2 linked regions of the Sus scrofa genome follow. The protein of the gene in region 1 interacts with the protein of each later gene in a pairwise test. Links are inferred from orthologs where the notes say so. Each region holds a gene or a part of one and is shown in the gene's direction. Other genes may lie near its edges. The genes, in order: PTPN6 and leukocyte-associated immunoglobulin-like receptor 1.

Region 1 (3,815 bases):
TGCATCACTAGCTCCACTGGCCCTCGTGTTCATGAGCAGGAGACCCCATTCCTGCTAAGGTGGGGGGTGCTGCGGGGTCAGCGAGGAGGAGCAGGGGGTCCCGTCAGGCCTGAGGGGCAGAGTCCCGCAGACGGGCCTACTCCGCTGGCCCGGCCTGGGTGCGTGGAAGGCAGTGCGCAGGGTCCTGGACGGACGCCTCCAGCCCTTCCACCCGCTGGCTGTGTGATATTGGACACATGACGGCACTTCTCTGACCGTGTGGTTCCTCATCGGTAAAATCAGGATTCCGACAGGGTTGTCGTGAAGATGAAATGAGCCCTCTTGCTGTGTTTGGAATACAGTGAACCCTGGACAATGGGAGCTGTTCACGCTTTAATAACTCACATGAGGCAGGGAACGGGAAAGGGGAATCTGCTTCCATCTCTTCCCTTCCAGCTCCCTCCTTGTGACCCCAGGCTGTGAGGGCAGAGACTTCCTCCTTCCTCCCACCAGCCACCCTTCCTCCCTGCATCCCGGGCCGGGCTGGGCTGGGCTGGGGCGGGGCAGGGCGGGCCAAGCCTGGAGGTGCCCCTCACCTGCGGTCTCAGGGACCCCGCTCTGCTTCCAGGGTCAGGCCCCTCGCCAAGAACGTCCCCACTGCCTGTGCCCCCCCCACTTGAAATCCCCATGGTCTTTATTTAGATCTTACAGGAAGGAAGTGGGTGAGGGGGAGTTATTTTTGACAATCTGTGTTTGAAATTAGACAGCTAGACTCAGGGCATTGGCCCCACTGGCCTAGCCGAGCGGGTGGGCCTGTGATCTAGGTGGGGTCCTGAGCCTCCTGGGGTGTGTTTGCCCAGGGGTCGCGGCAGAGGGTGGGCAGAGGGAGACTTCCTGCTGCATGGCCCCGTGCCTTGCTGTCTCAGGGCTGCCCTTGCACTGCCTTCAATGTCTGAAGAAAAAGGGAAATAGAAGCGTTCCCGTCGTGGCTCAGTGGGTTACGACCCTGACTAGTATCCATGAGGTTGTGGGTTTGATCCCTGGCTGCGCTCAGTGGGTTAAGGATCCAGGGTTGTCGTGAGCTGTGGTGTAGATCTCAGATGTGGCTCAGATCCCGAGTTGCTGCGGCTGTGGTCTAGGCTGGCAGCTGTAGCTCCGATTTGACCCCCAGCCTGCAAACTTCTATATGCTGCGGGTGTGGACCTAAAAAAAAAAAGAAGAAGAAGAAAAAGATAAAAGGGAAGCAGAGCCTCGCAGAAAGAGAAGGGCCGCCTCACCTGGGCGCCAAGGCTGTGGGAGCAGGTAGGGCAGAGGTGGGCCAGGCCCTAGATCTCCTGGGGCGGGGAGCAGAGTGAGGTGTTGGGAAGAAGGAAAGTGATGGGCATCTGGGGAGAAGGATCTTAGGACTTGAGAGCCTGGCCCTGCCCCCACATCCCTTGGCTGGAGAAGACCCCAGGTGCAGAGTTGAGCCAACTTCTGCCCTGCTTGTCTGCCCACCTGGAGACCCTCTCATTTCCGGCACCTTGCATCCACAGCCATCCCCTGCAGCCTCGGTCCCCTAAGCCCCACCCATGCTGGCGCTGAACACGGGGCTCCCCCTTCCCAGCCAGTGCCGGCCTCTAACGGTGCCCCTTCTCTCCCCAGCGCTGGCATCGGTCGCACTGGTACCATCATTGTCATCGACATGCTTATGGAGAGCATTTCCACCAAGGGTGAGAGTGACCGGTGGGGGACGAGGGGGCAGGTGGGCGAATGGGCCCCCAGGTCCACCTGGGCCTGGGCCTGACCTCCAGCCACCATCCCTGCCAGGCCTGGACTGTGACATCGACATCCAGAAGACCATCCAGATGGTGCGGGCCCAGCGCTCGGGCATGGTGCAGACAGAGGCGCAGTACAAGTTCATCTACGTGGCCATCGCCCAGTTCATTGAAACCACCAAGAAGAAGCTGGAGGTCATACAGGTGCGGGCAGCACAAGGCTTGGCCGGGCCGTTGGGGGTTGGGGGGGCTGGCAGTGGGCTTTCTCTGGTGCTCCTGGGACCACCGCGCTTCTACCACCCATCTTCCCACAGTCGCAGAAGGGCCGGGAGTCGGAATATGGGAACATCACCTACCCCCTCGCCATGAAGAACGCTCATGCCAAGGCCTCCCGCACCTCCTCCAAGTGAGTGGCTCCTGCCCACGGCCTCCCCACATGGGCCTCTTTCTCTTCCCCAGCCTGACCCCTGATCCTTCCTTTCCTGAGAGGTTCCGGTTCAAGGTCAAGGTGTTTTTTTTTTTAATTGTTTGGTTCCATTTATATGACATATAAGAACAGGCAAAACATCTTTGATGACAGAAATCAGGGCAGTGGTTGGCTGGCAGGGGCTGGTGATATGGACTGGAAAGCAGCATGAGTAATCTTCCCGGAACGATGAAAAAGGTGGTTACATGGGTGTAGAGAGTGGTTCAAGCTCGGTTCTTTTTTTTTGCTTTTTTCTTTCTTTCTTTCTTTTTTTTTTGCTTTTTAAGGCCGCACTCAGACTAGGGGGCTAATCAGAGCAACAGCCACAGCCACGACAGTCCCGAGTCTGCGACCTACACCACAGCTCACCGCAATGCAGGATCCTTAATCCACTGAGCAAGGCTAGGGATCGAACCCGCAAGCTCATGGTTCTGCTGCGCCATGACGGGAACTCCTCAAGCTTATTTTATTTATTTATTTATTTAGTCTTTTTTTTTTTTTTTTTTTTTTTTTTTGTCCTTTTGCCTTTTCTGAGGCCGCTCCCGTGGCATATGGAGGTTCCCAGGCTAGGGGTCTAATCGGAGCTGTAGCCACCGACCTACACCACAGCCACAGCAATGTGGGATCCGAGCCGCATCTGCAACCTACACCACAGCTCACGGCAATGCCGGATCCTTAACCCACTGAGTGAGGCCAGGGATCGAACCCGCAACCTCATGGTTCCTAGTCGGATTCGTTAACCACTGAGCCACGACGGGAACTCCCAAGCTTGGTTCTTGACCTTCGTTCTTGAGCTTGGTTTAACCTGTGTTTCCTGGGTGCCCTCCACGTGGGGCCTGTGCCAGGTACACTGATATGAGATGGAGCCTCTGCTCCCGGGAGTTTCTGGTGGAGTGTAAGGACGGTGTAAGGAGTGGTGTCCTCGCTTTTCTGGCCTCAGTTTGCTCACCTGTGAGGTGGGCGGTCCTAAGGGGCTGCTGGTGCTGGATGAGGCTGCCCTGTCCCCTCCCTGACTGTCCGCACTTGCCCGCCCCGCCCCTCTCGCAGGCACAAGGAGGACGTGTATGAGAACGTGCACAGTAAGAACAAGAAGGAGGAGAAGGTGAAGAAGCAGCGGTCAGCAGACAAGGAGAAGAGCAAGGGCTCCCTGAAGAGGAAGTGAGCCGGGCATGTCCAGGGGCGGCCACGGTACGGCTCCTCCCCACCTGCCCGCAGGGGCCCCCAGCTCCATGCTCTGCCCTGGACAGATGCGGTGGCTGCGTCCTCACCCTGCCTTCCCAACCATCTCAGACCTGTATCTCCCCCTCCCCACCCCGCCCCGCCCCGGGACCCGTCCAGGAATAGCCACCCCCTGATCCCTTCCTCCCCTCTCTCTGCAGCCTCAGCCCCATCCCAGTGGACCACCTGCAGCCTGCACCTTGGAGCCTGCCCCCCATTCCATTGTAATTTAAATGGCCCCATCCCTACCTCCCTCTCCCAGACCCTGTATATAGCCCAGCATGGCCCCAGGCTGGGCCAGGCCCTTCTACTCCTGTAAATAAAAGCTGTTAGGATCACTGTGTGTGTGGGTCTCTAACTCTGGGTGCCTGGGCGGGAGGGGGAGGGAGGCAGGG
Region 2 (3,086 bases), on another chromosome or scaffold:
GAGACATTCCGCCTGCAGTACAAGGAGAATATGCATAAGTACAAGGATGAGAGTAACACGATTCAAATTGGTCCACACCAGACAGCGGCCAGGTTCCCCATCGCTGCTGTAAGTGAAGACACTGTCCGGCATTATCAGTGCCTCTATCATCAAAGTGGCATTTGGTCTGAGTCCAGTGAGACCTTGAAGCTGGTGTTGACAGGTGAGGACGTCTCTGCTCTGCCCTCAGGGTGGCCCCAGGCCGCTGTCCCCAGCTGTGTCCTCTGCCCACAGGCCCCCTGCTGGCCCCCCAAGCCCCATGGCCCCCCAAGCCCCGTGGTCTCCCTCACACACACACTCCTTCACCTTCACGCCTGTCTAAAGCCTTCTCCCGCCCCTGATCACAGGACCCCCTGGGGATTTCAGCTCCCCCCACACGGAGCCCTCCTCCTCAGCTGGTGAGTAGCTGACCTCAGCCTGTTGGGGTTTCTGGGAGGCTCTGTGCTGGGGATCAGGACCATTGCCCTGGGCTTGGATCAGGGACTGGTGAGGCCCTGGGAAGGGCATGGCTTGCCCAGGGCACTGCTGGGTCCCTGATATTCACAAGGACACTCTTAACACCCACAGGATAGAGATAACCCTATAACCGGGCACCTGGTGGCAGTAATGCCACCGAGCCCACCATGGAGGGACGTCCCAGGCTTTCTAAGAGCCACCACTCCTTTTAAGAGGCAGAAAGGAGGTTAAGTGTCTTGGGCAAAGGCACAAGGGGCAGACCCAACCCAGGGCATCCAGACCCCATCCTTGGGGTTTGGGCACAGCTTTGCGCTGCCCCCTAGTGGGCAGGTTCCACCGCTGGCCCCTCTGCACTGAGAGAAGGAAGGAGGGACTGATAGCGCATCTCCTAGGAGAGAGAAGAGGCTTCTTGAAGGTTCTGCCTGAACAGCCTAGAAGGAGGGAGAGCCCCCCTCTCAGAGCGTCCTGAACCCGCTGCTAGTGGTGGTGGGGGCGGGCAGCTCAGTCACCCCTCCACCTCCCTCCCCGTTTCATGCCTCCAAGACTCCAGTTCAGAGCAGAACTGCCAGCATCAGGGTTAGGATTCCGGTCCTGCCTTCCCAGCTCTGGGCCCTTGAGTGAATGACCACGCCTTCCGCATCCCGGCTTCTCGCGGGCAAAACCCGCAATAAATACACGAACCCCGCAGTTGAGACACAGGACCTGTGCTTACGTCGGGGCAGCCCAGTAGTACTGATCTTAGGACTATTTTCTTCTCACCTCCTGTGCACCAGACACCCTCCTGCTATGGGGTTGATGCACACGTGAATGAGGAGAAGGGGTCTCTGGCCTCCCAAGCATTAATGGAAGAATTAATTAAAATGAACAATAGAAATGCACTAAGGATATATGGGCATATAGAATATAAACATAACATTTTTCGGGAGTTCCCGTTGTGGCGCAGTGGTTAACGAATCCGACTAGGAACCATGAGGTTGTGGGTTCGGTCCCTGCCCTTGCTCAGTGGGTTAACAATCTGGCGTTGCCGTGAGCTGTGGTGTAGGTTGCAGACGCGGCTCGGATCCTGCGTTGCTGTGGCTCTGGCATAGGCCAGCGGCTACAGCTCCGATTAGACCCCTAGCCTGGGAACCTCCATATGCCGCAGAAGCGGCCCAAAGAAATAGCAAAAAGAAAAAAAAAAAAAATAAATAAATAACTAAAAAATAAACATAACATTTTCAACGTAAAATTTCAGACTTATAATTTAAATAGAATATACTTACACTATATAGCAAATATCGAAGTAATATATTAATACATATGAATAACGCATACAGTGTTATGTCTGTACATTATATTATCATGTAGTATGCATTACTGTAATATATGTGATAGTATATTTACCATAATTTATATGTATAGTTGATATAATTGATATGTAGAGCTTACACTTTATATTTTTAAATTGTGTATAACTAATCTGTGTAAATTAAATTATGCATATGTGGGTTAAAACAATTTAACTGTATATCCAGTATACATTATAGTTATATGATATGTAATATATATAGATGTAAATATATTGATATATATTATTTTTATTTGTAAAACATAAATACTATTTTAAACTGTGATAAACGTCACAAGGCAGTGAAGCAGGGCAGAGGTGTTAAAACACTGGGTGGGCCCGTGGATGGTGGGCCAGCGACACAGTGTTGAGGGCAGGATTCTCTAAGAAATGAAGTTTTCTGCCTTAAATAGGATATTGAGGACTCAGCCTCTGAAGCAGCAGGAGGGAGGGGAGGCGGGGCTCAGACCGAGTGGGTGGACGAGCCCCCAAGACCTCTGCTGGCTCACCTGTGAAATGGGTGGTGCTGCGCCCTTAGGAGGTGTATGGTAGAGGAGCAGGACCTACAGCACATGCGCGGAGTCCAGCCCCGGGCTGGCGGGCAACTGTCTCACCTGCTCACCTCGTGGCTTCGGCGGGCAGCTCCGGGACATCGGGTCTTGGCGTCTTCACTCCCAGGAGAGCAGATCCACCGCATCAAGGGGAGCTGTGAAAACGGAAGGCAGAGCTGAGGATGCCTGTGCCTGGGCCCTCCTACCGGGTGTCCGTCTCTGCGAGGGGGGAAGACGGGGGAGAGCGGCGCTGCCCCCACCACCTCCCGCGGGAAGGGGACGCTGCAGGTGCCCATCACCCAGTGAGGGTGGCATTAGCCTGGTGGCACCACCGAGCCGCCCCGCGACCCGCTGCTCCTGCCCCTGGCGATCTGACGTTTCAGTTTCTTTCACTTAAATTTCAAGGGCAGCAGTCACGTGTGGTTACCAGAGCGGACAGCCCAGAAGTAGAGTATGTCAACCACACGGACTGTTCCACGGGGCTGTTCTAGAGGGAGCAGGTCCGGGTCTGGGGACCAGGGAGACCCCGTGGAGAGGGGGGGACTCAGGAGCCTGCTCTGTCCAGCTCAGGCCTCTGACCCATGTCCTCCTGATGCCTCATTCCTAGGAGACACATGGACGCATTCACAGGATGGAAACAATCCCGGTGAGTGATGGGCACAGAGAAGCAGGACCTGGCCTGTGCCTTCTGGGCAAAGGGGGAATGGCTTGGG

The links.
Region 2: the proteins of PTPN6 (region 1) and leukocyte-associated immunoglobulin-like receptor 1 interact in binary tests that used the Homo sapiens proteins (3 or more experiments, as listed by UniProt). The link is inferred for Sus scrofa from reciprocal best matches to the Homo sapiens genes PTPN6 and LAIR1.

The regions. Positions count from the first base shown.
Region 1 is NC_010447.5:63,762,053-63,765,867, reverse strand, and holds the end of PTPN6 (tyrosine-protein phosphatase non-receptor type 6), read left to right. Parts: intron 1-1,623; coding exon 1,624-1,691; intron 1,692-1,788; coding exon 1,789-1,940; intron 1,941-2,050; coding exon 2,051-2,142; intron 2,143-3,249; coding exon 3,250-3,364; 3' UTR 3,365-3,390; intron 3,391-3,581; 3' UTR 3,582-3,759; downstream 3,760-3,815. UniProt on the Homo sapiens protein: Tyrosine phosphatase enzyme that plays important roles in controlling immune signaling pathways and fundamental physiological processes such as hematopoiesis.
Region 2 is NC_010448.4:58,944,109-58,947,194, forward strand, and holds part of leukocyte-associated immunoglobulin-like receptor 1, read left to right. Parts: coding exon 1-202; intron 203-386; coding exon 387-437; intron 438-2,436; exon of another isoform or gene 2,437-2,974; intron 2,975-2,980; coding exon 2,981-3,019; intron 3,020-3,086. UniProt on the Homo sapiens protein: Functions as an inhibitory receptor that plays a constitutive negative regulatory role on cytolytic function of natural killer (NK) cells, B-cells and T-cells.